4 linked regions of the Drosophila melanogaster genome follow. The protein of the gene in region 2 interacts with the protein of the main gene of each other region in a pairwise test. Each region holds a gene or a part of one and is shown on either strand. Other genes may lie near its edges.

The links.
Region 1: the proteins of Keap1 (region 2) and pug interact in a two-hybrid assay, tested with the Drosophila melanogaster proteins (one large-scale study listed by BioGRID).
Region 3: the proteins of Keap1 (region 2) and Mcm3 interact in a two-hybrid assay, tested with the Drosophila melanogaster proteins (one large-scale study listed by BioGRID).
Region 4: the proteins of Keap1 (region 2) and Ctr9 interact in a two-hybrid assay, tested with the Drosophila melanogaster proteins (one large-scale study listed by BioGRID).

What each region holds. Positions count from the first base shown.
Region 1 is NT_033777.3:10,694,424-10,703,108, reverse strand, and holds the start of pug (pugilist), read right to left. Parts: upstream 6,576-8,685; 5' UTR 6,378-6,575; coding exon 6,307-6,377; intron 5,955-6,306; exon of another isoform or gene 5,903-5,954; coding exon of another isoform or gene 5,841-5,902; intron 5,484-5,840; coding exon of another isoform or gene 5,240-5,483; exon of another isoform or gene 5,236-5,239; coding exon of another isoform or gene 4,165-5,235; exon of another isoform or gene 4,133-4,164; intron 3,453-4,132; exon of another isoform or gene 3,359-3,452; coding exon 3,287-3,358; intron 3,225-3,286; coding exon 3,014-3,224; intron 2,891-3,013; coding exon 2,419-2,890; intron 2,108-2,418; coding exon 270-2,107; intron 204-269; coding exon 1-203. Other genes in the region: CG14683 (uncharacterized protein), read right to left, coding at 4,165-5,235; CG46459 (uncharacterized protein), read right to left, coding at 5,240-5,483, 6,307-6,377; Skel (skeletor), read right to left, coding at 7,063-8,685.
Region 2 is NT_033777.3:17,073,055-17,080,826, forward strand, and holds Keap1 (Keap1), read right to left. Parts: upstream 5,049-7,772; 5' UTR 4,852-5,048; coding exon 4,764-4,851; intron 3,840-4,763; coding exon 3,523-3,839; intron 3,449-3,522; coding exon 3,191-3,448; intron 3,132-3,190; coding exon 2,449-3,131; intron 2,333-2,448; coding exon 2,127-2,332; intron 2,063-2,126; coding exon 1,284-2,062; 3' UTR 888-1,283; downstream 1-887. Other genes in the region: mRpS11 (mitochondrial ribosomal protein S11), read left to right, coding at 1-129, 184-284, 448-513, 574-681.
Region 3 is NC_004354.4:5,321,653-5,327,956, forward strand, and holds Mcm3 (minichromosome maintenance 3), read left to right. Parts: upstream 1-2,202; 5' UTR 2,203-2,344; coding exon 2,345-3,703; intron 3,704-3,766; coding exon 3,767-4,000; intron 4,001-4,074; coding exon 4,075-4,941; 3' UTR 4,942-5,086; downstream 5,087-6,304. Other genes in the region: Rnp4F (RNA-binding protein 4F), read right to left, coding at 1-85, 167-675, 738-755; CG3309 (uncharacterized protein), read right to left, coding at 5,654-6,304. UniProt on the Drosophila melanogaster protein: Acts as a component of the Mcm2-7 complex (Mcm complex) (Mcm complex) which is the putative replicative helicase essential for 'once per cell cycle' DNA replication initiation and elongation in eukaryotic cells.
Region 4 is NT_037436.4:1,304,793-1,313,056, reverse strand, and holds Ctr9 (Ctr9), read right to left. Parts: upstream 5,769-8,264; 5' UTR 5,688-5,768; exon of another isoform or gene 5,639-5,687; intron 5,510-5,638; exon of another isoform or gene 5,432-5,509; 5' UTR 5,358-5,431; coding exon 5,316-5,357; intron 5,254-5,315; coding exon 5,155-5,253; intron 5,094-5,154; coding exon 4,158-5,093; intron 4,101-4,157; coding exon 3,264-4,100; intron 3,201-3,263; coding exon 2,743-3,200; intron 2,430-2,742; coding exon 1,349-2,429; 3' UTR 1,252-1,348; downstream 1-1,251. Other genes in the region: sturkopf, read left to right, coding at 145-337, 397-1,127; Nt5a (5' nucleotidase A), read left to right, coding at 5,769-7,373.

The sequences.
Region 1 (8,685 bases), 6.4 Mb from region 2:
TCGATATCGTAGATCGCCGGGCGGGTGGGAAGACCCGGCATTTTGGTGACCTCACCGCACATGGCGACCACAAAGCCGGCTCCGGCTGAAACATATACGTCCTCAACGTCCAGGGTGAAGCCCTTGGGGGCGCCTTTGATTTTGGCATCGCCGGTGAAGGAGCCGGAGACTTTGGACATGCAGATAGGTAGATTGCCAAAACCCTGCGAATTGAACAATGCATTTCTATAAATACTTTCAGTTTCTCGAAGAAAATGTTCTCGACTTACCGCATCCGTCAGGCGTTTGACCTTCTCCTCAGCCGCCGGCGAGAGCACCACCTTTCCAGCGCCGTACATCGTCGTAGCGATCTTGTTCATCTTATCCACCAGCGGCAGCTCCAGATCGTAGAGCAATCGGAATTGATTGCCCTGTTCGCAGGCCTTGATCACGGCATCGGCCAGCTGAACGGCTCCGGCTCCTCCGTCCGCCCAGTGAGTGGAGACTACGGCGGCGAATGCACCTGCCTCCAGAGCAGCCTTTTTGACCAACTCATGCTCCGCCGGGGTGTCTGCTGAATGAGCATTAAGGCTCACCACCACTGGCATGCCGAAGGCCTTTCCGTTCTCGATGTGCTGCAGCAGATTGGGCAGACCCTTCTGGACGAGCTCCAAGTTCTCCTCGGTGTACTGCTTGTTCAAGGGGGCTCCGGGAGTGACGGGAGCTCCGCCGCCGTGCATCTTGATGGCCCTCACAGTGGCTACCAGCACCATGGCGTTCGGCTTGCGACCGGATGTCCGACACTTAATGTTGCAAAACTTTTCCATGCCAATATCTGATCCGAACCCGGCCTCCGTGCAGACAAATCCATTTTTACCAACCAGCTTTAGGCCGACTTCATCAGCGATGATCGAGTTGCAACCGTGGGCGATGTTGGCAAAGGGACCAGCGTGCACCAGCACTGGAGTTCCCTCGAGCGACTGCATCAGGTTCGGCTCGAGAGCGTCCTTCAAAAGAACTGCCAGGGCACCGGTGACACCCAAATCGTCAGCGGTTACGGGCTTGCCTCGTTTGTCGAATGCCACCACCATGTCAGCCAGCCGCTGCTTCATGTCCTCCAGACTTCGGGATAGTGCTAGCACAGCCATGATCTCGCTGGCCACCGAGATGGAGAACCGGGTCTCCCTCGAAATACCCTTTTCAGTGGGCGATTGCCCAACGGTAATGGTGCGTAGGTACCGATCGTTGATGTCCACCACACGCTCCCACATAATCGTGTCCGGATCGATGTCCAGCCGGGCAAAAGGTCCGTATTCGTCAGCGGTAAGGGTATCGGGATCGGTTTTGGTGATTCCCAATTTCTGGAGCCGGCGTAGCTGAATGGGGCTGAATTTCCGCTGACCCTTGATCGCGGGCACCAATCTGTCATACAAGGCCTTGTCCTTTTGGGTATTCTCGTGGAAGATGCGGGTGTCCAGCTGGGCGGCCAGCAAGTTATTGGCTGCCGATACCGCATGAATGTCTCCTGTCAGATGGAGATTGAACTCCTCCATGGGAATCACCTGGGCGTATCCGCCGCCAGCAGCTCCTCCTTTGATGCCAAAGGTTGGACCTTGGGAGGGCTGTCGCAGAGCAGCCATGGTGTTTCTCAGCTTGTGCGCGCCGAGAGCCTGGACCAAGCCCATTAGTGTGGTGGTCTTACCCTCACCCAAAGGCGTTGGTGTCATACCGGCTACAACCACATAGTGACCCACCTCCTTGTCCTTCAGACGCTCCAACACTGACAGTGAAATCTTGGCCTTCTTATTTCCGTACAAGGAAACCTCACGAGCTTCCAGACCAATCTCCTTGGCCAGCACGGCAATGTCCTTCGGTTTTTGGGCACGGGCAATCACAATATCGCTGGGCACGGGACGCTGGGGCTTGAGGGGCAGCGTTTGAAGGGCCCACTGGCTCTTAGCAAGACGCTCAAGGAATCGGGCCGCAGATCGCACGGTGTTTTTCATAAGCATGGCCACCGTCATGGGTCCCACGCCGCCGGGCACTGGCGTCAAATGTCCTGCCACTTGGAGAGCTTCCGCGTAGTCCACGTCCCCGACCAGCTTGCTGCCACTGGCCTTGCTGGCGTCTGGAAAGGATCAAAAATTGGAATTTGGTGGAATCGTGATTGGGATCGGTTCGCCCCGATCGGGAGCTGTTCCCTAACTAATTCTCGAGAGCATGATGTTTGAAAACAAAATCATTTCTTATCGTCGGGGTTAGGAGTTCCACTAGGGGGTCGAATGCGTTGATAAGCGATTGACGGCGTAATCAGTAAACAAGTGGAAACGTATGTTTCCACAGATTAGGGAATTTGTTAAAGCAAGTCTTTAAATTATCTATTGGATTTCCACTGGGGTTGCCAGTCAACTGAACTGATAAGGGATTACCATCACTCACCTGGCTTCACATTGATGCCGCAATCGATGACCACTGCTCCGGGCTTTATCCACGATCCCTTAACCATCTCGGCCACTCCAATTCCGACCACCAGAATGTCTGCACTTCGGGTGATCTCCTCCAGGTTGCGGGTCTTTGAGTGGCACACTGTGACCGTGGCATTGGCCCACTTGAGCAGTTCGGCGGCGGGAGTGCCCACGATCTTGCTGCGTCCCAGAACCACAGCCCTGGCTCCGGCGATCTCTACTCCAGAACGGCGAATTAACTCCAGGCAACCCCAAGGAGTGCAGGGCAGGAAACCACCAAGGTCACCGATGGCCAGGCGACCTTCGTTAACCGTGTGCAAGCCGTCAACATCCTTCTCCGGGGAAACGGCGTCCGTAATTCGGTGCGAATCGATGGGTGTGTCACAATCCAGGGGCATTTGCACTATGATGCCGTGCACCCGGGGGTCCTCGTTCAGATCGTTTATCTGAAATGGTAAAGTCGATTAGTTATTATTTATAACTTTATTCAAGTAGAGAATATTTCGTTTTTCAGTTGATATAACATTGTATTGCCCATATTGCATAATCCGCTTCCGTCGCAAACTCACCTTATCGAGCAATTCCACCTCGGTGATGGATCGGGGCAGCTGGACGTGGGCGGCATCGATACCGATCTCCGTAGCCGCCTTGATCTTCATGCGGATGTAAACGTTGGAGTCCTCACGTCCACCAACCTGGACAATCCTTAAGCCGGGCACAAAATCCGCCAATTGCTTGCTCATAGCCGTCACCTCGTTACGCAGCTCTTCGCGAATGGATCTAACGGGAGGCGGGGATATGATAAATAGGAATCCTACGATGCAAGAGTTTTGCCCACTTACTTGGCCACCGCCGTGCCCGATATGATCTTGGCCCCACTCATCTTGATAGCCGGCTCTGCTGTCCACTCTCCGCTGAAAAAACGCAAGCCCGTAAAGTTTTTTAGTCCAGATGACCGAAAGTACCGCCTCACTAGCCACGCCAACTCGGCTCGCGCTATGCAACTGAGCTGAGCACTCAACGGACACCCCTATCTATAGCCCACATAGGTGCTCCGCCCGGTGCCTCTCTCTATTTTTTGTAATCCCGCTCCCTTATCAGACGCCTTCGAGATTATCGGTTTCGGGTTTCTCGCGGGTCACATCTTGCGATTGGTAGCCGGGAACAACACCGGCTGACGTATGCCAAGGCACCTAAGTACCACAACATGCTCCAATCTCTGGGAGCAAAACAACCGCAGAAGTGCGAATGGTAAGCTTATACGATGGCTTTAACCGAGAAATTGCTGGCATACGCAATTTCCATATCAAATTCGCCCGCCTCCGTTATCAACCACTTGAAGAGGTACTCGAAAGTTCAACGAGTTCATCAAATACGTGCACTGTGGAAAGCATCACTAACCAATGATTTTCTATCCCTATTTATATTATGTTCTGAAAAATATTCAATCAAAAGAAAAGGAGAATCGGTACCACTGTACTAAACTACTATTCTACCTGGGCAATTAACAACAATTTCCTAATCCAACTAAACAAAAACTCTGCACGAGAACCGCAAATAACTGTGGTAAATAGATAAACCAGTCGTTATCAGCAGGTGCCAATTGGTTTGGCAGATAACCAAAACAGTCCAAACATGCATACCATGACGAGAGTTTGGGAGAATTAAAGACTGAGAAAGAGAATTTTGAACTAGACCGAGGGAATTTATTGACATGCGTTTAGTTTGTTTTGACGGCTGCTCTCAGCTTGGCGGATCGACTGCGTGTGTTCCTCGCCACCTCGTCGGCGTCTGGCACAATGACATGGCGATGTAGTTGTTTCCAGCTCTTCTTGGTCAGTGATTCTAGTATATCTGGCTCGTCTATTGCATAATGGCTGGAGTACTTGAGGGGAAGAGCATTGGCGGCGCCTGCCAGGACGTTTCCGTTGATGTGACGCTTCACGATAGTGTCCTCCAGCGAGTGGAAGGTAATGGTCACCAAGCGTCCATCCACACGGAGGATTTCGTTGGCCAAAACCATACCGTAGTTGATCTCGTTTAGTTCGTTGTTCACAAATATGCGGATGGCTTGGAAGGTCTTGGTGGCTGAGTGTGCCGGTCGTCGAAGCTTATCCTTCCTGGTCCCGCCATCCATGATGTTTTCAATTATATCTGCCAGCTGCTTGGTGGTCTCGATTTTAAAGAGGGCGTTGCGCGCGTCTACCAGTCCTCTGGCTATCTTCTTGGCTGCTTTCTCTTCACCATACATCCTTAAAATCTTCACAAGGTCGCCCTCTTCAACATTAGCCAACACATCGGCAGCTGTAACCCCTCCGCTGTGGCCACCATCCATTCGCATGTCCAGTGGACCGTCCCTCGAGATGGAGAAGCCTCTGACCGCCTCATCGAATTGCATGGAACTGCAACCAAAATCAAAAAGCATCCCGTCCACCGAGTTCTTGGCCAGGCCATGTTCTTTGAAAAGCTTTGGTAAATCGGAGAATTTTCCAAGCAGGGGAATCAGCCTACCCTTGAACTCTTCGGATTCGCTCATATCGCGGGCCAGTTGGTGGGCCAATGGATCTCGATCTAGGGCGTATACCTTTGCCTCGGGACACTTCTCCAGAAGACGCCGCGTGTGGCCACCAGCTCCGAAAGTCATGTCGAAGTAGGTGCCTCCTGGAACGGGCTGCAGGTATTCAATGGCGGTGTCGCAGAGCACAGGAACATGGGGAGCAGTCGTCACATCTATAGAGCTTCGTCTCAACCAATCCAGTCTCAGTCTAGTAGGGTTTAGGAGTCGCTTCATCGTGCTACTTCTTTTTTTTTGAGTCCTCGTTCAAATATTGCAGGAACTCGGAGCTCAACACTTGGCTGCACTGGGCGGCGGTTAGTCCAGTGGCCGTGGACTCGAAAGTGCGCGGATACTTCTTTGCGTAGACGTTATTGGATAGCCTCTCCAGAGAATTGATCTGACGGTCCAGCTCCTTATCCGTCGCTCCGCCCTCTAGACTTGTAAGCTTGGTCACCTGTTTGCGAATCTGCTCGCCGAGATCCCTTTTGTTTGAGAAAAGGCGAAAAAGTTTAGTTCCCACTAAATGAGTGTACATGTGTGTATTTTCTGTGGCGGATGTTCGTTCCATGCGGGGCAGCTGAGAAGAAGATTTAATCACTTTCCGCGGAAGTGGGCGTTTGAGGTGGAAAACCACTTTGTGTAATTGGAAACCGACAAAAGGCTAACAAATGTGGCCATAAAAGTAACAGACGTTAAAGAAATTAATAGAACATGTTTTCTTCTTCCTCAATTATTATCCAAATATTATTATCAGCACGCTTTATTTAACCTTTGTACAGTGAAATTTATAATAGTCAAAGTTTTTATAACGAAGCTTAAGAAGATATTTCCAAACTTACTTAAGTCCATGGCTCAAAATAAATTTCTCCGGCTCCAACTGATATGCGAATTTAGAGGCCATTTTTTTGCCACTACACAATTTAAGATAATTTGATGTCTGTATGTTCTGAAAACTGGTAAGGCAATGTAAGCCTTTTAAGCCAAGTAAAACAAGTAACTAAGATTGGCGATCCACAGCCGCTCAGAATCGGCTAAATGAAACCCACAATCCACACGGTCAGTTGGCGTGGAACCTAAAAATCTTGGCGGGCCGGCAGGTGAAATAGTTCTTAAGTAAATTCCCATAATATATTCCACTTGCCAAAGTGATCTAATAAGCAATTCACAAATCAATGTGTGCAAAACTAACTATTTAATACAAATAATATTAAATCCGTTCAATAATTATTTGTTAGATAATCCAAAGTTGTTGCGCCGCCAGAACGAACATTCTTGATACCAGGGTGTTTTGATGCTTATTCTTACCTGCCGACTTTTGATTTCTCCGCTGGCCACTTTTCTAGTACTTTCAGGAATCTTTGATATTGCGCCGACATAATTGTTTCAACTTAAAAATTAAATTAAACAAATAGCAGCGCAACAAAAACACACGTTTTTGCTGGAGGTGGAACAGCAGTCGATAGTTATTCGATACTATTAACAAGGGTGTGTTCCCATTTGGTATGAAACGCTGTAGCGAAATATTGGTCAGCTATTTGCCAGCTTTTCTTTCCAAACTCTACTTTTTAAATCTATGTTTCAGAACTTAATATTTTATTTATCGATAAGCTTGAATTTTTGACATTGTGATAGCTATCGATACAAGTGCGTTGTGTGGTATTATATCGAACGACTTATGATTGTCAGTGTTAAGAAAGTAAAAACTAAGTACTAAGAGTACTACGTTTAAAATGACAGTTACTTAAAAAGAATAACCAATTTCCTCTGACCTTACTTGTATTTAAATCAAACATATCTTTATTTCCGGTTGAACCGGAAATCAAACACAAATCAGATTACTTCTTGGTTTTATTTCACAACGACTAAAATGCGGCTTAATCAGAATCGGTTAGCTTAGCTAATAAAATTCATGCGTTCGTTTAAAATTAAGAGCATCATAAGTGTTAAAAAAAAACTACGGGCTAATACAGGTTTACGAGTAAATGTAACGTGGTTATGAGAGTCGTACACCCCAAAACGGTTAAATGCTAGTTCTTGCTTATAATTTCGCTATTGCAGATCCTACGCTCTTCGGCCCTCCGGCTTCAGAAGCTGTAGCTTAGTGGAAATGGGTCTCAGCGATGATGAGGACAATGGCGATGAGGCCGATGATGATACGGTGGATGTAGATGCTCCTGTCGACGAGGAATACGGATAGATGGTGCTGCCACTGCTGCTGGAGAACACAGGAGTGGTACGACTGAAGGGCGCTGGATGGGAATACTCGGAGACGGGTTGGGGCTCTGTGCCTCGGAATTCCTGTGGCAGCTCTCCTCTGTAGACTCCAAACTGAGGTGTGGTACGGACCAGCTGCTCCAAGGGGGTCAATCCGTACTGGGCATGTCGCTGGTGGACGTTGGCATTGTCCGGGGCATCCAATTTGGGCGGCAGCACTAGGCTACTGTCCACCACAGACTTGCCATCAAAGGTGTAGAGGGCTCCACTCGGCACCCTGGTATCGGGAATCTTTCGGTTATCCGGCGGCAGGTAGTAGGTGTCTATCCGTTCCGCAGCAGCGGCCACTCGGTCATCCATGTCTAGTTCCAGCTCATCCGCATATAACTCTTCTTCATCGGGCCCAAAGAGATCCTCCAGCAGATCGGGATCCGGTTTCTTGGTCGTGTTTCTTGGAATGTTTATTGTTGTGGTTACAGCATCTTTTTTGGTTGTCTCTTCCAGTGACTCCACATCATCTGCCACCGGCATAGGCTCCATTTCTAGCTCCTCTTCGTTTAGATCCTCTGCAAAGAGTTCGTCCAGGGTGGGCTTTATTAACTCCGAAGCGGAGGGCAGGGCGTGCTCCAGGGCTGCCGACGGCAATCTTAAAGCTGATGCCGTGGGACTAACCTCCTTCACGTTAACCCTCAACACTTTTGTGGCATTAGTACTGTCCAAGGGCGATGGTATAAACATGGGCTCAAAGCTCTGCGTTTCACTGCCTCCCTGCTGGGCTGCCAGGAACAGGGTATCTGTTTCCATCACCTCATCGATTTCTGTCCCAGGATCCTCTCGTCGATGGGCCACCTGATCGATGATCTCCTTGGGCAATTGAACACCAGTGCCATCGGTCCTAACGATGGGTTTAAATCCGCTCTCAACAATCACGGTGTCGGGCTTGAAGCCCTGATTAACGGCAGGACGCATACTGGCGATTTCCTCCTGGGAAGGTTCCTTTACTGTAGGACGTTTCACCAGCGGAATGGGCGTGGTTGAGATGGACACAGATGAGGCTTTGGGTTTCTGGTCCCCCTTTCCCTTTCCGCCTGGTTGATTAAAGATAGCTGTATTTTGCAGAGACCCCTGTGGTTCTAGGTCCACATATGGTACTGGAATTTTTGGTTTACCCTTTATCTTGAGTCGTTCTCCCTTGTTATTGAGGCCGCCTAGCTCAGTGGGCTGACCCAGGAGTAAAACAGATGCCGCCAGCGGTTGCAGTGGAAAAGGTTTCTCCTTGACGAAGGGTTTCAGCAATCCCGGTATCGGCTTCCTGTAGTGACTTACAATCAGGGAGGGTTGTTGCTGCAGAAGAACGGGATGCTGCTGCGGATGCGGATGCAAATGCGGATGCTGCTGCGGAAGTATGGGCCTTGAGGCCGGAACCTTCTTGATCGGAGCAGGGAAAGGTCGGCGGCCGGGCAGTTTAAC
Region 2 (7,772 bases):
AGGCTAAGTTTTTCCCGGATGCCAGCACCGCCAACACGTTATTCAATGGAATACCCTTCAACGAGCTGCCCATCTGCAACATTCGCGTTTCACCCAACAACACAATTATTTCCGTCACGGATCACAAAGGTGGGTCATCTGGAACGTTACTCTAACTGTGATCTAAAGTATCCCTCTTTCCAGGAGTCCTCCGGCTGATACGATCCTGTGGAATTGAGGGATTCAAAAACACTCGCAAGGGAACCAACATAGCAGCTCAAGCTACAGCGGTTACCATTAGTGGAGTAAGTCATTTCCACAAGAAACAGGTTTTACCAAAGTAGGATGGTCAAAAACTACATAGAACATCGAGATAATCTCCATTATAGTTGTATACCATATATGCATTTGAATAGTATAATATGGGCATAGAATCATTTAAAACAAAAAACTTAAATTGTATTTCAGAAAGCCATTGAATTGGGCTGGAAGACAGTGCGAGTAAAGGTTCGTGGTCTTGGCCCTGGAAGAATGGTATGTTCAATACTTTTTGTCTCTCATGTCACTTAAAAATAATTAAATGTTTTGATTCAGTCGGCCATCAAAGGACTGCAAATGGGTGGGCTGAACATCGTTTCCATTACCGACAACACACATGTTTCCTTCAATCCTCCAAGACCCCGAAAGCAGAGAAGTCTTTAATGTGCAACTTGTTAAGACAACTTGTTTAAAAGCAAAATACACAAATAGTCGTTTACAAACAAATACGAAAACAACAGTTTATCTTTCTAATGGAATAAATAGCACTGTCACGGTGAGTTTTATTAGGAAGATATTTGAATATGGCCTTTTTGTTGCCACGGCCAAAGGTTTGCACAAGATTAATAGCAAAAAGATTAAATAACTTTGTAAAATATGTTTGTTTTATTTTTCTTAAATTATTTGCTTTCTTTTCTTAAAACCTATTTTGGATGCGCATAATTCCTCTTCTTATCCTACGTTAAAAAAAGTACAATACGCAATCTATCAGTTTGGATACCTACAAAATACGTAAAATACGAACTTTCCTCCCACTAATCAACTATTAACCCTAATCAATCTTTTTAAAATGGGCTGACGAGCGCCAGTTATGTTATGGATGCCATAAAAACGGTTTGACTAATTATCACCTAGCGAACACACTAGTAAGTAATATTACAATGGAATGCTGCTTCTCAACATGGAATTCTAGGGGATACGATCAGGCTTTGTACAATGAATGATGTTTTTGGTTGAGGCTAAGCGTGAGGCTCGGATTCGTATTGTCATGTGGCTGCGCTCGTGAGTTTTCGCAGGCGACCTTCGATGTGATGGTGAAAAACTTTCGCTGCTGTGCTAAATAAACATTCTTTTTGTGCTTTTTTTAATTTATGCCGCATATCATTAGCATTTCTCTCATCATCTGTGAAAGACGCTGGTGGAGTTCTTCGAAATCTTTCCTGCATTCTGGACCAAGGACAGTTTGGATTGACTAGCTCCTCGGATCTAATGGCGGGAATTTGAAAACTATGGTGTTCTGCAGGAATATATGGTTTTATATCCATTTCCGAGTCACAATTGTTGCAGCCGCTCATTCCGTATGAAGTATGAAACTGCATATTGGACGCCGTCCCAGGATAATGTGGACTCCCACTGCCGTACGTGTTTTGTGGTGTATGAGCATTCCTTTCCCCGTTGTTACTTCCATCCGGGTGTGGGGCGTCACTATCTTCGTAGTCCATAAACGTGGTGGAACACGCCGGCTGATAAATAACCGCCGACGCATGACCCGATCTTCCCGATTTTAGTGGTGTTCCTGTTGTCCACGTATTTGTTCGTGGATCGTAGACCTCGACTATGGACAGAAAGTTGTTGCCATCGAATCCACCAATGGCGTACAGTTTTTCGTCCAGCGGAGTCAGCGAGAGAGCACTGCGTGCGATTTGAATTGGCGCAACCATGTCCCAGGTATCGTTTTCGGTATCATAACGCTCCACGGTGGCTAGTTGACGGGTGCCATCGAAGCCACCAACAACGTAGATGTACTGGTTAATTGCAGCAACACCTGATAGCAATTAAATCGGAACTTAGTTGGAAATTAGATAACAGGATGCGCCAGTCATTCTTACCCGCTCCACTGCGACCCGTTTGTAGTGGTGGCAAAAAACTCCACTCATTGTTCTCCGGATGGTAGCACTCCACGCTGGCCAAGCGCTCGTTTCCATCGAAACCTCCGATGGCATAAAGCAGACGGTTGACCACCACAACACCCACTCCCAAGCGCTTGGCATGCATCGGCTGTACAAGAGTCCAGCGATCCAAATCGGGGTCATAGCTGCAAGAGATTTAAATAAATAGGGTTTGCTAAACTATGTCGATAGAATAAACAACCAGAAAGGCTTTGTCAAATTAATTAAACTATTATCTATTGAAATGATGAACACTACTTACTATTCCACCGTGTTGTGGTACTCCATGCCGGCGGACCCGCCTACGGCGTACATCAGCTCGTCCATCACGGCCACGCCCACTCGATGGCGTGGCACGGACATGGGAGCGCACGGACGCCATGTTTCGGTGACTGCACTATAGCGATCCACCCAATCCGAGTCGTAGGAAGATCCAATGTTGTTATTTCTGCCTCCAACCGCATAGAACTTGCCCTTGAGAAAGGCGGCACCCAAACCAGATCTTGGAATGCGTAGATTTGCCAGTGTCGTCCACGTCATGTCGTCTACATTGTAGGCCTCCAGAATGTCCAGTGAGTGACGAAAAAAGCCACCGGCGACAAATATCATCCTTGTGGTGTTGGGGGTTCGTTCCTTGACTCCTGGACACTTGTGCAGCGTTAAGTCCTTAAAGATCTTGGCCAAATACTCCCGACAGGCGGGCACCTTTCGCAGAACATCGCAGTTTTTCATCTGCTCCTTGAGGAAGTTGGGCGTAAGGAACTGACAACGGACAGCGCCCAAAATGTGCTCCATTTTACAGTGTCGATTGTCCTCGTCGTATTTCACCCACTTTAGCACAGCGTTGTAAACCTCTCGCTCCTCCTGCACATTCAGTTCATCCCTTCGTATCAGGGCAATCAACTGATATGCCGAAAGCTGCAGGAATTCCTCCTCTTGGCACACCTTAGGGGAACTCAGTAGCTATAGTTTTGTGTACTCTTTTCATATCGTAAATAGGTTACCTGAGTGAAATTTCGCTCAATAAACACATTGGCCTTCTTTTGCAGCTCAACACAGCCGTGTTGCTCAGCAAAGTGGGCGATGCCAATGGCATTCGTGGGATCCAATTGGCGCTCCAGAAAGGCACAGCAGGCATCGATTACGTTTGGCACTTGGAACATGGTGGCCGCGGGCAGGAGTTGGCACACCGTTACCTCGGTCACACGTATTTGGCCGGTGTACATGAAGTAGAGGATGCGTGACATGGCCGTGGGACACACCTGTAACACCGAAACGGACGAACTGTTCATCCATTAAACCAACCAATTAAGGGCCGCGCTTGAGCTCAACTTACCCCTTGGAGCTGGACGCGCGACATCTCCGACTCCTTGAGTCCCCCCGTGAACATGGCCTTGAAGTAGGGCGATGCCGCCGACAGCACCACTTTGTGGGCGGGAAAGAGCTCCTTCTTCACCTCGAGTACCACGTCCGTGAGCATGCCGTGCGAACGCATCATGTACATCATCTTCAGGGCCTCCTTGGCGTAATTGGACATGCAGAAGGTCATGTCATCATCCGTAGCATCGTGATCATCTAGGGTCGAGTGCGCCGATCCGAATCGACCACCGCATGAGATGGAACAACTTTCCGAAGTGTTGCTCATCTCAGCCTCTGGAAAATCGAGGAATAGATCATATTGTAATTCCAGGACATATTTCAGAAAATATTCAATTAATTTTAATTATTTAACAATTAATTTAATAATAATTAATAATTATATTAAATAGTAATTAATTATTATTAATTATTATTAATCTTAAAACCAATACACGCCCTACAGTTGAGCCCTGTAACCCTTGTACCTCGTACCTCATCCATCGCAAATAGATCGACAATCAGCGCGGGCTATTTATTCTATTTTATTATCTAATCTGTTATGAATTTGCAAAAAAATTAAAAATGGCACTTTAAAGAAATCCTCCAAGTGTGAAATGACGTACTATATTATGGATATCCAAGATAACCGAAAGGTTAGATACGACCGACCTTTAATACGTTCTAGAAATTAAAGCGGTCATTTATTTTGTTTTTGAATGCGAATAAGTTGGTAAGTTTATGAGTTGGTAATTTGGTAAATTGGGCTTAAAGATTTATAAGCTCTCGATTAGAAAACTAAGATAAGATTAAGGTAAATTATCTGTTTATTTCAAGAACACTCTTTCGAATGGATACTACATTGCCAACCGGAATTTGCATTGTCAACACAAACCAGTTTCTTTCGCGATAATATTTCAAATGTCTCTAATTATTCAAACGTCCAAATCGAGCAATGCAACCTGGATAAGTGCCGTTTCACTCCATTAATTTTTATCATCTCACATTCAACTACAAGTGACTTCACTGTAGCACAATCTGGAATCGTTTTCGCCAATCATTGTGGGCTGTTTCAGAGAACTTGATTCGCAATGCGCACCGTCATGATCAGTGGTTTCTTTTTTTTTTACCAAAAGCACGCGTAGCGAAAATATCTGGCAAACTTGTTGCGAATTGAACTGTAGACCCAAGGTCAAATCCAGAACTTTAAAAAAAACCAACCTTCTGGGCGGCAGGGGTATCCCTTGTGGTTGGGCATGTCGGAGATGTGGGTCTCATATTGCATGGGCGAGTGCATTTGGGTTTGCATTTTGGCACTAATCTCGGATCGATAGGGATCCTTCACAGCTTCGTTAGTTCGGTAGAGATAGTTTCAATAATCAATAGTTTCGCAAACAAAGACTGAAAGTCCGTGTGAAAATGAAAGCGCGCGATCAGCTGCTTCTCCGCAAATCCGCTCCGGCGATCATGCGTGTGCCGTGGAGAGAGCCCGTCAACTGACTGCCGTGGTCTGCGTCTGCCCAGCCACAGAGCCCACCGAGACTTATCTCTCGCGGGGATGGTGGCGGAGTGGGGGGAGCGTTTCAAAGAGCGTTATCATGCTTACATATGTGTGTGTGTGCACACATGTGCCTGAGTTCTATGTGGCCCTTCCAGGTGAATACACTCCGTGTTGTGGCGATAAAAACTATATAATGCCATGAATGAAACGCACGGCCCGTGGGCGGTTTTTTGGACCGTAACGATGATGCTCACAAATCGTAACCGATGGCAAACATAATTGTTTACCATGTTTACCAGCAACAGGTTTTTGTATGGAGCCTCAGGCTACACAGCGTTTGCAAAAAAATTACGCGTGTCATGCAAGCAGTTAGGAATTTCGTTTTGTTCAAAAGATAGCTAAAATGTGTTCAAAGTCCGTGCCAAATGAACTATTGAATACAATCAAAACAAAAAGCTAAGCTAATTTCGTATGCGCATATCGTGGAATATGTTTAAAAGAGATTACGTCTCTCTATTTTTTATTGCATAGTATTTTAGTCATGATCGGAGTTCTGTCTTAAGGGAATTTCACAACATAAATGGCCATATACACAATATTGTACGGTATATCCGATTAATCATTGTTACCAAGCTCAATTGAAAAGGCAATAAATTTTGAAGTATCAAGTCATGTTCCCAAAACAATTTCAATTTATGAACGCCTTATACACATGACGATAGAAATATTAATATCACTGATACACACTTAAAAAAATTTTTCGCATTAAATGAAGTAACTACAATAATGAAATATTTTTTTTTTTCATTTAATAATATTAAGACACAAAACCCTTTCAAAGATTATCCTTTAATTTTATTATTTATTCTAGAGAAATGTTTACAAAACGTTTAAAATTTATCGTATGTTTTTCTTATCTGAATCACCAAATTAAAACCACTACATATGTACTACACAAATATTTTTGTTTAATCAGATAAGGGCAAAAGGGACTTCCCCCGCCAAAAATCCCATATAAGTATTATGGCGAATCAAACGTACTTTGGAAAATCCACGCCCTTTAATAACATTAGTTCATCAAAGTGCGGCTTTAAATTTCCGCATAAAGTGACGCTGAGTTGGTTGTTGGTAAATGAATGATAAAGGCAAAAACTGGACGAAATAGTGCCGAATCATGCTGAAGAGGCAAAACCTTACACACTGTCACAGTGGTACGTCGGTGTAGGTGAAAACAGCAGCGTAATCAGCACGGATGTTGGGGATGTGTGTTTGTGTGTTTGCAGGTACCGTTGAACTTTGCTTTCACATAAACAAATATTACTCACTTACATTGCTCTCCCTGGGGCGACAGCTGTCACCCTTGCACACACGTACGTACTGTACATACTATTTACATACATACACACACCCGCACTTCCAACGCCATGTGCCAAACAGCTGATAAAGGCCATTGAAACTGAACTCGAAAGAAGGCCACTTAAAACAAACCACTTTGTTGTAAGAGATTACCGCAATGCAGGACAAACATTTACACTTTATCACCAGGGATTTCAAGATCTCACAGATACTTCATATATTTATGTATATAACCACGTAAATCGGCTGGGAAAATACACCGTTAATTTCTCCCTTTGTTTCATTGAGGTTTTCACATGCAGATAAATGTACGATCGTAGACAAATAAAAGGTTTCCCAGCTGGAAACTAAACTATGCGAGGGTCATGCACTTTTTATGCCTTTTTTGCACTTTGTATGTTTTATTTACTGCTACTCACATCTGTATTTATTTATTTTGCCACTACACAACGATTTTTTCTACTCTTCTTCTTAAGGTAAACATGCAAGTGCTGGAAAACGCTCGACACTGAAAGCATGTAATGACAGGAGTTGCCAGATGTCCAACCAGCTGGTGGATATTTATAAAATAAATGGTATACATGATATTAAACCACATTTACAAACAATTTTAATTATTACAACTTTAAAGTTGGTTGTACTGTTTCACTATTCTGATAATTTTTTTTTTTTTTTTTTTACATATAGATGTAGAAATTCCAAGACGTGAACCATCGTGACTTATCGAAAGCAAAACGATGATCGGCAGCACGTGGTATTTCTCCGCGTGGTAGCTAAGGTCCCACTAGCGCGTTGGTTATAATTTGTTTGTATCGGCGTCGGTTGAATTGAAATCAGTTAATTTGTCGCAAAGTAATTTCTGTATAAGTATTAGCTGTGCTGCTAGAACTAGAACGCTACAAGGTGGGTGTGCTTATGTTTATATTGATTTACAAAAAGCTAAAATACTGCTGGTTTCGATGGGCACTGTCTGCGCATCCTTTTTGTTGCGGTAGGATAGTATAGCATACATACATAAATTTGTGCGCGTACAAAGGAATAATTCAAATGTTCAAAATGTGCGCAAAATATGAAGCAGCAGGCGTTAGAAACATCAGTTTTATTGCCCTGCAAAAGGGCTTTATTGCACCCCTCGCCCAAGAGCTCACATTTTTTTTCCTTTCTCCAAACAAATTATCGCCAATTGCGGCTGTCGCGCCGCCATTTTAAAAAACGAACGCGGTATCAGCCTCCTACAATTGCATGGTACAGTGGTGGCAAAGCATAGTGGACCAGGTCAAAAAACCTGGGATGTCGAAATATCAAACTATAGTTTATTTTTGTTTTCAATTATAAGTAGCTTGGAGAAGCATATCTAAATATATAGTACATAC
Region 3 (6,304 bases), on a different chromosome or scaffold from region 2:
CTTCAGCCACACGTGAGCCGGCACAGTGGCCAAATTTTGCAGCTCCAGCACCGATGACTCGATCTTTTCCAGATCATTCAGTTTGCTGCATTAACGAGCATCAACATTAGCTAATGCCGATATTGAAAAAATGGAAAATGGGAGTGGGAGAAGCAGGCAAACTCACAATGCGATTCCAATGAGCGAGACCATTTGGGCAAACTTTTTGCTGGGCAACGCATTCAGCTCCTGATACGAGCGCTCTAGCTGATTTCCGCCGCCAGCGTTGTCGCTATCACTGTCACTGTCACTGGACACCTCACTGTTCGATTCCAATTCCGAGCCTTCGATCACGCCCACATCATCGCTACTGCTGCTGGAATCATTGCGCGCTCTGCCACGGCCAGCGGCATTGCCTCCCTCAGTCTCCTCCACTGACGGCTCGTCGTCCGATGAGATCAACTCAATGGTGGTCATATCCCCGCCGGCGGACGACGGTGGCCAGGTTGGGCGCGATCGTTGGCGCAGCTCCTCCGACTTGTGCTCCTCCTCCTGCTGCGGCGACTCACTGTGCCCCTGCTGCGGCGAGCCCTTGCCCTGATCGGGTATCACGATCAGATCATACTCGTCATACGCATCGTCGTCCAAATCCTCTGCCGGCATCTCGTCCAGCTCCTTCTCCAGCTGCCTTTCCAGCTGCAATATATTGGGCATACGCATAAGGGCGGCGCCTATTGGAGCTATAATCTGACACTCACCTGCTTGTCGGCGTCCATGCTTCAACCGTTTATTTTGGTGGAAAACTTTTCGCTTTCCGTGGAACTGCAATTTTTCCCCCCCAAAAAAAATACAGGAAATAAAAAAACAAAAAAAAAACCGCAAACGCAGGGCTGGCCAATCTAATATCGCGTTGTTGCGCTTATCGTGGAAAATTATTTGGTTTCAGGTTTGGTTTCCCTATTGGGCACTTTTTCTTGGAAAAACTTTCCAAGCACTTACTTTCTGAGAATTCGGTTAACGAAAACTTATCATTTTCTGTCAAGAAACACCGGTAAAGTGTGAATAATATGCGAATTTTTTTTTCGTTATAACAGTGTGACCAGTGCGTAATATCGATAGCTGTGCGCACTCGATAGTTGCGGCAGTCCAGACAATGGCTGTGTTACCAGCAGTGCAGTGAAGACTCGTGATGAGCAATTTGAAGACTAATTTCGGTAATATGTGGTCAATATTAACTGGTTTCTTTGGGCGGTCAGAAATGTATAGCAAAGTCAAATGATAAACTAAATCCTACCAAGAAATATAATTTATTTTAAACATATATATATTTTATAGAAATAAATAAAAATGGAATTTATTTTACTTAAGTGCTATATATATATGTATCATAAAATGTAAACAATTTCTGTTTCTTTTACACAAACTATTTAATAATAATAAACTATTTAATACGCAGCCACATCATAAATGGATTAAGTGTAGACAGTACTCAGGCAAATAATAAAAATATTATACCATTATATGAATGGATTAAGTGTGGACAGTAATTAAGCAAATAATAAATATATTACTATATACTATAATACTATAATAGGAATTGATTAGGTGTAAACAGTAATAAGTCATATAATACATATATTGTATATATTATAGGATATAGTAATAATAATATAATAATAATTAGGCAAATAATAAATACAAATATTATACTATTATAAGAATGGTTTAAGTGTAATAATATTATATATTATATAATAATTAAGCAAATAATAAATATATAATACTATTATAAGAATGGATTAAGTTTAAACAGTAATTAGGCACATAATACATATATTGTATATATTATAGGAATGTATTAAGTGTGGACAGTAATTTAGCAAATAATAAATATATTTTACTATTATAGCAATGGATTAAATGTAGATATTAATTAGGCAGATAATAAATATATACTACTATTATAGGAATTATTTGATAGTTTTCTATATTGTATGCATTACAAATTAAGTCAGATGTTCGGTGGAAACGTTTTAATTATAAATTTGCATATCAACGTATATTTGCTTATATTAGTTAGTTTGCTATGTCCACTATGTTTTATATAATAAAGTTAATAATTATATGTAAATATATAAAAAAAGGAAATAATTATAGCATATATATTTTGCCCGCGCAACCAGTCTTCAAATGCCCACAGTATGGTCACACTACGCTTTTCCCGCGAAAAAACTTTGCATTCGGCGTGCAATTTGCGACATTAGTTTTGTTTGCATTTGCGTTTGCCTCCGAACGGATCGAAGTTGATCCATAAGCGAAATCGAAAGAAGTTTTGTGAACTCCAGTGTACAGCTTAAGTCACAGAATGGCCCACGAGGGGGAGCAGTTCATCAAGGACATACAACGCGAGTATGTGGACTTTCTGGACGACGAGGAGGATCAGGGCATCTATGCGGGCCACGTCAAGGATATGATCGCGGAGAAGAGCAAGCGCCTGATCGTGAATGTCAACGATCTAAAACGCAAGAATCCGCAACGTGCATTGGGGCTACTGAGCAACGCGGCGGATGAGCAGCTGGCCTTTGGCAGGGCGCTCAAGGAGTATGCGTCCACGGTTGATCCGGGCTATGCCAAAATGCATGAGGATCTGTTTGTCGGCTTCGAGGGCTGCTTTGGCAATCGGCATGTGACGCCGCGCTCCCTCACCTCCATCTATCTGGGCAACATGGTGTGCGTGGAGGGCATTGTTACCAAGGTATCGCTGATTCGTCCCAAGGTGGTGCGCAGCGTTCACTATTGCCCCAATACGCGTAAGGTAATGGAGCGCAAATACACCGATCTCACATCGTTCGAGGCTGTGCCATCTGGCGCTGCCTATCCCACAAAGGACGAGGATGGCAATCTGCTGGAGACCGAATACGGTTTGTCCGTTTACAAGGATCACCAGACGCTGACCATTCAAGAGATGCCCGAGAAGGCGCCGGCTGGCCAATTGCCGCGTTCGGTGGATATTGTGTGCGACGACGATCTCGTGGATCGCTGCAAGCCCGGCGATCGTGTACAGATTGTGGGCAGCTATCGCTGTTTGCCGGGCAAACGCGGTGGCTACACCTCGGGCACGTTCCGCACCGTGCTGCTGGCCAACAATATATCGCTGCTCAGCAAGGAGAGCAATTTGGACATATCGCGCGAAGACATCATGCTGTGCAAGAAGCTAGCGAAGAATAACGACATCTTCGAGCTGCTCAGCAAGAGTTTGGCGCCCTCGATTCATGGACATGCCTATGTGAAGCAGGCCATTCTTTGCCTGCTGCTCGGCGGCGTTGAGAAGATCCTGCCGAATGGCACACGCCTGCGTGGCGATATTAATGTCTTGCTTATCGGCGATCCTTCGGTGGCCAAGTCGCAGCTACTGCGCTACGTCTTGAATACGGCACCAAGGGCCATACCGACAACGGGTCGCGGATCCAGCGGCGTCGGTCTGACGGCGGCGGTTACCACGGATCAGGAGACCGGTGAGCGGCGATTGGAGGCGGGCGCCATGGTCCTGGCCGATCGCGGTGTCGTCTGCATTGATGAGTTTGACAAGATGAGCGACATCGATCGCACAGCCATTCACGAGGTGATGGAACAGGGTCGTGTTACCATTTCCAAAGCGGGCATCCATGCCTCGCTCAATGCTCGCTGCTCCGTTTTGGCAGCCGCTAATCCGGTGTACGGAAGGGTAAGAGTCCATCCGAATCCGTCTGTTCATCGCTTTTCTTGCTAATTTCGTCTTCAATTCCAGTATGATCAATATAAGACGCCGATGGAAAATATTGGACTGCAGGATTCGCTGCTTTCGCGTTTCGATTTGCTCTTCGTTATGCTGGACGTGATTGACAGCGATGTGGATCAAATGATTTCGGACCATGTGGTGCGCATGCATCGCTATCGCAATCCCAAGGAGGCCGACGGCGAGCCCTTGTCCATGGGCAGCTCCTATGCGGACTCCTTGTCCTTTGTTTCCAGCAGCGAGGAGGTGGGTTTTCGTCGAAAGGCACGATTATGATTGTGTATAATCGATTGACATGGTCTTGAAATTGTATTTTACAGAAGAAGGACACCGAGGTGTACGAAAAGTACGATGCCCTGCTGCATGGCAAGTCGCGTCAGCGTCACGAGAAGATCCTATCCGTGGAGTTCATGCGCAAGTACATACACATTGCCAAGTGTATGAAGCCCAAATTGGGCGAGCAGGCCTGCGAGGCGATTGCCAATGAGTATTCGCGCCTGCGCTCCCAGGAGGCGGTCGAAACGGATGTGGCACGCACGCAGCCAATAACGGCCCGTACCCTGGAGACCCTCATCCGTTTGTCCACGGCCCATGCCCGGGCACGCATGTCCAAATCGGTGACCATCGACGATGCCCATGCGGCCATCGAACTGGTACAGTTTGCCTACTTTAAGAAGGTGCTGGATAAGGATCGCCCCAGCAAGCGTCGTCGCAACAGCGGCTCCGATGCGGAGGATGACAACGGTGAGGCATCTAGCCAGCGCTCACCATCGCGACGCTCCAAACGCACACGCACAGCGACCGTCGGTGCCGATAGCGATGAGGAGGATATTGAGCCACCACAGCCGGATGCTGGCGATTTGACGCGTCGCGAAACGCGTCGTTCTCTGCCCGCTCGCTCGGTCGCCATGCTGATGGCCAGCCCCTCCAGTGAGGAGCAGTCGGTGGCCACATCGACCACGGAGCCGGCCATCATTAGCGATGCCCGCCTGGGCGAGTTCAAGAACAATTTGCAGCGACTGTTTCGCGAGGCACGCGAACAGAGCTTGGCGCTGGCCAGGATCACCACGGCCATCAACGTTGGCAGCCAGGAGCCGTTCACCGCTGGCGAAATCGAGGCCGCCGTGCATCGCATGACCGAGGACAATCAGATCATGGTCGCCGACGATATAGTCTTTCTCATCTGATCGCGCATTCCAAGGAGCAACAATCGAACGAACGATTGCATCCATCAATCCATCCTTTATCCATCAACCATTCTAGCGCTTAAGTTGTCATTTTTGTTTTGTATTTATATAAAAAAAAAAATAAACACTTTGGAACTCCCATTGCAATCCACGGAATATGTACGTTGGCATAAGGAAAGGCTGCAGCTGTTGGCTAATGTATTATAGTTAACTTATATTTGACATAAACAATTTAAGCGATATACACACAAAGTTGCACAACGGTTTTAAAAGAAACAAACTGAAGGTATAACCAACTGGCTTCACAACTCCCATTCACAATCAGTAAAAAGCTGGAGAGGAAGGGACTGCAATGTTGTGGTTAGTGGTTTCAAGCTGCAGCCACATAGATATTATTGGCATGGTTTTCGACATTTTGAGACATGAGCATTGTTTTCGCATGGATGTGAAAATATGGAAGGGACACATCGATTACATTTAATACTTGACTTGTAGTTTGAACTAACAACATTCATCGCTTCGCTTGGATTCACTTTAGAATTAAACTAGACACAAATACGGCGACTAATCGCCGATTAAAATCTATTTACACTGATAAAGAGCACCGCCAGGCACAATCACACAATCACAGGATACTAGCAGACAGATGTGGAGCAGCCAAAGTGATAAGTGGCAGAAGAGAAGGAGGAGGACGAGGATTGAGCTACTACCATCAAAGATTCACCACATTCTTGAGATCCGGCGGCAGCAAGCCCTTCATGCACTCAATCTGGGCGCGTATCTGCTGCTGAGTTGAGCCATTGTTGCCCTCCAGCTGCGTGGCTTTGTCGCCATAGAGATTCAGTTTTTGCTTGAGCTTGAGTATCATATCGATGATCTCCACCTCCTGCTTGTCGTGCGCCCAGTGCTCGAGATTCGCCACGGATAGCGCCTGCAGCTGTAGATCCTGCAGCGTTAGCTGCAGCTCCCGATGACGTGCACCGTACCAGCCGCGAAAATTGGGCGATCGAAAGAAGCGTCTGTACAGGCCCTTCCAGTCGCCCTTCAGCGGCGACGTTAGCTGCGGCCCAGCGGTTTCCAGCGTGCCCAGAAAGTCATCCAGCTTAAAGCTGTTGGCATTCGGCGCCGACTTAAACGGACTGATGTCCTTTTGCAGCGGCATCAGTGATGCCATATACCGTTCCAGTGGTATCATAAAGCTTTGCGTCAGCTCGAGCAGATGGCGTCGTATCAGTGCGGTTTGCACATGCTCCGGCCGCTTGGTCTTCATGCCCAGCAGCACCTTTTTGATCAGCGCCTTGTCCTTTTTCAGGTACGGCCTATATTTACTGTGCAGGCCCGCGGACGAGGCATCGCCCGAGCC
Region 4 (8,264 bases), on a different chromosome or scaffold from region 2:
GAAAGGCTGCAGCCGAGGTGGTTGGACAAAGGAAAACCGGTTGCCACGGGGATTAGACAACTCATCGCGTGTGAAAAGAGTGGGATCAACACAGGTGCCGATTGATTTTCAGCGCAGTTTGCCACGCCAACAGCAGCGGAAAATATGCAGGAGGCCTACGTCAACATCAACTCCATTCCCACCCACATATTCACATGGGGCAGGTGGATTGAGGAGACCATAACCGAGAAGGAGATCGTCATCTGCATAACTGGCAATCCCGGTTTGCCAGGTTTCTACACAGAGTTCGCAGGCACTTTGCAAAAGGAGTTGGGCGATCTTCCAGTTTGGGTGATAGGTGAGTGTGCTGGCGTTTCCACATTGAGTCGGTAATAGCACACTTGATGTTCCCTCCAGGGCACGCTGGCCATGATGATCCGCCAGAGGCCAGTATTCGGGAGGTTCCTCAACTCAGCGGCAACGAGGAGCTCTTCAATTTGGACGGACAAATCCGGCATAAAATCGCCTTCATCGAGAAATACGTGCCAAGTGATGTCAAGATCCACTTGATTGGGCACTCCATCGGAGCGTGGATGATCCTGCAGCTGCTGGAAAACGAGCGGATACGGAGTCGCATCCAAAAGTGCTATATGCTGTTCCCCACCGTCGAGCGGATGATGGAGTCGCCCAATGGATGGGTGTTCACCAAGGTGGCCATGCCCCTGTACTCCGTGTTTGGCTACATTTTCTTCAGCTTCTTCAACTTTCTGCCCGTGTGGTTGCGCCTGATGCTGATACAGATCTACTTCTTGATTTTCTCCATTCCACGACAGTTTCTGGGCACCGCCCTAAAGTACTCCAAACCATCGGTAGCGGAGAAGGTGGTCTTCCTGGCCGACGATGAGATGGCCAGGGTTCGCGGGATTCAAAGGGAGATTGTAGAGCAGAACCTGGACCTCCTCAAGTTTTACTACGGCACTACCGACGGATGGGTACCAATCTCCTACTATGACCAGCTCAAAAAAGACTACCCCAAGGTGGACGCCCAGCTGGACACCAAGAAGATCGACCACGCTTTCGTCCTGCGCCACTCGCAGCCTATGGCTGTAATCGTAAGAGACATGATCCAGCAGCACAGACGTGTTTGAAGTCGATTGTTGACCTGGCCCAGACAATCAGCCCTGTCCATTACCTAATCCATCCATGCCAATAGACTTGGGAATCCGGATTACGGTTGAACAGCAAACCAATAGCAATTACTCCACTGCCTTTGTGTGGCAATTAGTTCGTTTTTATTAGTATCTTTTTGCAGCTCTCGAAGACAACTCTAAATATAGTCAAAAGTGATTTAACACGGTTGAGAGGTGCGTTATTTTTCCGGGGACCCTGATCTGCTACGGGATTCGGACTTGGATCGGCTGCCAGAGCGAGAGCGGGATCTTGAACCCGACGGCGAGCGGGATCTCGAGCGGGAACCGGACTTTGAGCGCGATCTCGAACGGGATCCCGACTTGGAGCGAGACCTCGATCGAGATCCGGACTTGGATCGAGATCTTGAACGGGAACTCGACTTGGAGCGAGCACGGGACCCAGATCTATCCGATTCCCCGCCAGATTCGATGCGATTCCTGGCGCGCTTCCGCTTAGTTGCTTCATCACTGTCACTCCCAGATCCAGATCCACTTCTGCTCCTGCTGCGCTTGCGGCTAGCCTCGCGATCACTGCCGCTTCTAGAGGCACTGCCACTTCGGCTACCACTGCGATTTCGACTCCTGCTTCTACTTCTGCTCTTGCTGCGCTTGCCGTCAGACTCGGATTCGCTGGTGGAGATCGTCTCCTTGGAAAGCACCTTGAGGCGCTGCTTGGCAGAAAGCTTCTCCTTGGACTCTTTAACCGGCTTCGGCTTCTTGCCCTTCTTCTTTCCCGACTTGCCACTGGCACCTGGCTCTTCCTCGCTGTCGCTCTCGTACTTCTCCGTTTTGCGCTTGCGACCGCCACCCTTTTTGCGTTCCCCCTTGCCCTTCTTCTTCGAGGGACGTTCTCCCTCACGACGAGCTCCATCGTTATCGCTTTCGGTACCGGAGATGTAGTCATCTTTACGACCTCGCCCACCACCCTTCTTGCGTTCCTTTTCAGGTGGAGCGTCCGCAATGATGAGCATGTTCTTGGTCTTCTCCACGTACTCCTGCCGCTTGGCTAACAACTGGTCCCTGGAGGTCTTTGCCTCCTCCTCGCGCCGCTTGCGCTGCTCCGCCACCTTAATTTTGAAGGCCTCGCGCTCCTCTTCCTGCTTCCGGCGCAACGAGCGCTCCTCCTCGTCAATGCGACGTGCACGGCCCACATGGTACTGGGCCTGAGAGAGAAGATCTTGGCAGGTGCTTGCCTCAATGCCAGCCACCTCAATGTTGAAGCGATTCTTATCCCCGTGCACGGACAGATATTGGAAGTATCTATAAGAGATTGGGGTGGGATATTGTGAGTGAGATTTTAAGCACGAAACAAAACATATTCATAGAAATAGTTATTGACCATGATCAAGGAAATCATCAGCTAATCTAATCCAATCTTCGGTTTAGCAGTTCATGATGATTGCTTTGCATTAATATCTAATCTGATCTGATAAGCTAAAATGCCATTAATGGTTACTCATTTCTGCTGTACTTCTAAATATAATCAAATTCACGTTATCACTTGGTTGGTACTCTAATAACCACTTGAAAATATTTGATAGGCGCAGTTTAAGAGAGCAAGGATACCACTTACTTTTGAGCCAGCTCCAGTTCATGGACAGCTTGCAGCACAATTTCCAGAGTAGATTTCTCATCCTTGAGTATGGCCATGGCCAAACGTGAGAGGACCACTGCTATGTTGAAGAGTAGAACTGTGTCCTGGGGAGCAACTCGACGGGCCTTAAGTAGCACTGCCTTGGCATCGACCAGCTTGTTGGCTCGTAGATACGCTCTTGCCAGATATTGCATTACCTCGACGTTGTTGTGCTTGTAGAACTTCTTCATGCAGTTCTCATACATCTGAATAGCGCTGATGTACTGCTTCTGTTCGACATAAACGTGCGCAATGTTCAGCCACACGTCGCAAAAGTCGGCGGTGGCTTCGCGCACCTGGGCGAAGATATCGCGCGCCTCGATCACGCATCCCTTATGTGCCAGCACGGCACCGATTCCATTGGTGGCCCAAATATTTCGGGGATCATTGCGAAGAACCTGGAAAGCGGATGCATTTCGTTACAAATTGAGCTATAATTGGTCTATTTTAATCTGTCCCACTTGTTTGAATATGGCCAAAGCCTTCTCCTGGTGCTTCCTCTCCTTCTCCTTATCTCTACTCGGCTGATGCAGTGTTTGCAACGAAAAGTTTCCCAGAGCAATCAGTGAGTAGGCGTCGGTGGAAGTAGACGGATTCTTGAGGATCGTTTCGAAATTCTTCTGTCCCAAAGCGAATTGCATCTTGGCCAAATGGAGATTTCCCAGCAGTGATCTCGCATCTGGATTGTCGTTGTTGATGTTCAGCGCGTCCTTGAAGAAATCGGAAGCCACGAAAATGAGACCCTTGTCCCTTGCCATGCAACCCAGCCGTAAGTAGCAGTCAATATAGTTGGGATGCTCCTTGAGGATCTCCTTGTACAGCTTGTCGGCCACATCGTAGCTACTCATTGCCTCGTTCAGACGGGCCAGATTGTACTTCATGGTGACCTGAATGGACTCGTAGTATTTTACATCCTTGTCCATCTCAGAGGTTGCATGCTTCAGGGCCGACTCCAAAGTGAGCTTTGCCATCTTCAAGTTGCCCAGGCGGTAGTGCAGTGAAGCCACGTTGTTTTGAATCTCAGCGGGTATCTCGTACTTGGCCTTGTCCCGAAGAATACTAGAGGCTGTGCCGTAAGCACTGAGCGAGGCCTGCAGGTCGTTCTGCTCCAGGATTTGAGCCAGTTCTATCCAGGCTTCAATGTCTTCAGGAAATTGTTCGGTGACCTTCTTGAGGTGAGTCTTGGCCATGTCACGTTTGGTTTGCGAATTGGAGTGTGCGTACAGGGATCCCAGAATCTTCATGGTCTCGTAGTTGCCTGGCTGGATTTTCAGCACTTTCTCGAAACACTGAGCGGCCTGAAAGTATTCACAAAGTGGTAATAAGGAGGTTCAATTACAGGTGTCCCAACTCACATTTTCTGTATCTCCTCGATAAATATACATCTGGCCTAGTCCGTAATGGGGCAGCACGAAGTTAGCTGGCGCAATCTGAGTGGATTGGTAATAGTACTGAAAGGCCTGATCGTAGTCGCTCTGGGCATGGAAACTCCTGGCCAGCTGGTAACAGCTCTCGGCTCGCATCGCCTCGTTCTCGGTGTTGTGGAAGGCGTGCAGCGCCAGGTGGTGGACTTTCTGATAGTCCTTCTTAAAGAAGAAGTGATTGGCCAGGTGATTGAGCACCATGGGATTGGCATTGTCGATGGTGTACGCCTTGGAGAGCATCTGGACACCCAGTTTGTTGGATTCGGGCTCAAGTTGATTCAGCTTGAGAACGGCCAGGCCAATCAAAGCGCCCACACACTGCTGATCCAGCTGGAGCGCTCGTTCAAAGGCTAGCTTGGCCTTCTCGGGATTGCCCATCTTCAGGAAGCAATGGGCCATGCCGATTCTCACATTCGCAGGACAGTTTGGATTTGTACGCAAGGCCTTCTTGTAGAAGGCCATCGCTCCACGGTAATCTTTGCGATTGAACGCGATGCAGGCCTTTCCCAGTAGGGAGGGAATATTCGAGGGGGACTGGTTAAGCACAAAGTTGAACTGGGCATCCGCCTGGTCCATCTTGTCGCCCTCCAGCAGACAGAAGTAGGCCCTGCCCAACAGATGGCTCTGGTCGTACATGATAATCTTGTCGGCACTGGTGTACAAGTTGGTGGCCTTCATGAAGAGCTCTCGTTTCTTGTCCTTGGACTTCTCCCGATACGCCTCCTGGACATAGTGGGCAGCGAGCATGTCCAGGGCACGCATGAGGTCCTTGTCCGAGTCGCGGTACTCCTTGGTGGCGTCATCGCTGCGCGACTCCTCCAGCAGCGTGACAAAGTCCTCCGTCTTCTTTTGTTTGTAGTAGGCAAGCTGGAAAAAAAGTAGCCATGTGGAACATGCTAAATTCATTGTACCCAGTCTTTCAACTTACCGCCACATTGACCCAAACGTGCAGGGGCGCCCGCTCCTGCTTGAGAATGCTCAACACCTCTGGACAGTCGGGCAGTTGATCCGGGTCCACCTCGATCACCTAAGTTGGGGAAATAGAAGTATTAATCACTTAAAACTAGAATCTTTCGGATCGATTCTCACCTCATCGGTGTCCTGCAAAGGGATCTCTATGCAGTTGGACATGGTTTCGGAGGCCTTGAGCCCACAAACTAAGCGGTGAAAAACGGGTTACTGGCCCGAAAACTTATAAAAATGTGCTGAAATCGGAGAATGTGCAAAAAACTATATTTTTTCCATTCCGGTACGCTTGCTAGGGATGGCACAAGAGTCGATTGCGCCAACGATACCTAAGCTGCTATCGAGTTCCGATAGCTTACACTTGCTTATACCTAGCTAAATCTAGCTAGGAATAAGCCAAGGAAGTAAGTCAGTACTGCTCAACTTCAAAAGGTTGGCAGCTCTGGCAGTTGTAGACATACATTTATAGATGAAAAATGATTTTGTGAGGACTACCTAAGTGATAGTGAATTTCGGCTTAATTTTAAATTTAGATCACGCTTCGGACAAATGAGATGTGCTAGTTGATAAGATAAGATGCTGGCGCTGGGCAGAGCAGCCACCGTGGGCGCCTTTTCCGCCCCTGCCCTTTCACTTCGACTGGCCACGAAAACGAAAACGAAAACAAAAACAAACGTACACAAACAGGCCCAAACAGATGTTCGTCTCCTGTTACGCAATCTCGATAAATTGGCGCAAAATTCAATGACGTTAGTCAGAACACCGCCGGCAGCAGTGGGAAGAGCAACACGAGAAGTGACGGGTCAGCAGCAGACAGTTAGGCGCTTCCACAAATCTGCAGGGGGAAACTCAAGGTATTCGGCCAGCACCATCATGACATCCTATCACAAGGAGCTGCTCCTAAAGGATTATGGAATAGTGGGCTTCGACCTGGACGGCACCCTTCTGCGCTACAATCTCCACGAGATGTCCGCTCTGATCTATCAGGTGCTCAAGCAGTTCCTCGTAGAGCAGAAGGGCTATGACAGGGATCTACTCCTTCAATCGCTCAACTTGGACTTTCTGCAGAAGGGCCTGTTCCTGGACGGACCGCGTGGCAATGTGCTGAAGCTGAGCAGTGAGGCCCAGATCCTGCGAGCCACCCATGGCACCCGTCTACTAAGCGACACAGAAATTCAAGCCATCTATGGAAGAGATCGAAGGTGGGAAATCACCACTGCCTTCTACAGGGACCCCCTGTCCACCTGGAATGGCGACGCCTCGACGCAAATGCGCTCGCTATTGGATTACTTTGATATGCCCAGTGCCTTGGTCTTTGCCCAGGCGGTGGATCTGGTCGATAGGGGAAAGAAGCCATCGGCAGGAGAGGAGTATCAGGTCTGGCAAGATGTTCAGGCTGGCCTGATGAACATCTACAGTCGGGAGAACTTCGCCAACGACCAGAGTCTCTATTTCAAGAGCATGCGAGCGGAACCGGAACGATTTGTGCTCCGAACAGATCCCAGTGTGATGAACTGGCTCGGGGAACTGCGAAAATCCGGCAAGAAGCTATTTTTGCTCACCGGCTCCAACGTGGACTTCGCCAATTTGACGGCCACGCAGGCGCTGGGCAAGGATTGGCGCAAATACTTCGATTTCGTGGTAACATACGCCAAGAAACCAGGGTTCTTTACCATGCAGCGTCCGTTCATGCAGGTGGATGTGGAAAAACTGGCAGAACTGCCGCAAGAGGCAGACAACATAAAGGCGGGCGAGGTCTACTCGCAAGGCAACTGGCACCAGCTGCACACTGCCATGGCTGGAATGCTCCAGAAGAAGCCCTCTGAAGCCAAGGCACTATACTTCGGTGATAACATAATCCAGGATGTTTACACACCGGTGAAACACCGCGACTTCGATGCCGTGGCCATAGCCGAGGAGCTGCTCCTTGAGGATGGTAAATATCCGTATGCTGCCGAATTGGACTCCCAGCTGTGGGGACCATACTTTGCCCTGGACTGCACACCAACTCTGTGGTCCAGCTTCATCAGCAGCTATGCCCAGTTGTGCGTGCCCACGGTGGAGCAAGTGGCGCAGACTGCGCCAGATAAGCGAATCGTTTGCCACAATCCGTATGGCTTCAGTCCGCGGCTGCCCAAGGAGCTGGAGACTGTGCAGCTGAAGAGCTGCTGGCGTGGATAGGCGCCTTGCTATCATCTTCCTAGAGACAATAACCGACCTGCGATTCCGAGGCGCGGTAAATCCGATAAGGCTTCTATCAGTGGAAGCCTCTTTAAATTCTTACGTACAAACAATTGTATTTGATAATAGCAATAAAAACGCGAGATTCTGAATTATTCAATTTAGCCTCTACAGTGTACGCCATAGCAATAAGATTTTCCACACTAGACTTACAACTAGTTTAGTTCCCCTTAACAAATTCATGTCAGCAATAGCTAGTACTTTTGTAATATGTTTACTGTATTATATTTTGGGCTCTCCCCTTTGCGAAATGCGAGATTCGTGGTCTTATTCCAAAGGCCACAACTATGCCCGATATTATTGTTATTGGCACAATAAATAACTAACTTCCACGATAAGAAATTACGAAGAGTGTTTATAAATCGCCAGTAGTGTCTCTGTAAATACTATATTTATTTTTTCGATCTTTGGGCAGTGGGACCTTCGATGACCGCGATGCTTATGCTGAAGATCTAAACAAGTTACCTGTTACTGGTACTGGAAAAGTACTCGGAGAGCTCGGAGTCTACATATGAAATGATACATGTGACAATGAGCGGAAAAGAGGGTGTCTTGTTCTCAAGCAATGCTATTTAACTCAAGCGTTAGCTCAATTAAATGTATAAGTTTACATTTGGATAGTTACTAGTTTTGTCAGCCTACCTATTTTATAATGATGCAATGCCCTTACTTATTTTAAAATAGCAAGGAATCGACCCAATACTGTTCTCTCCGACTTGCAGTTAATAGCTAATTGAATTTACAATGTACAAATAATTTCTAGTGTAGAAACAGAAACAAAAGCAAATAAATCGGTTGTGCATCATCATAACAAATGCTGTTTTATAAATA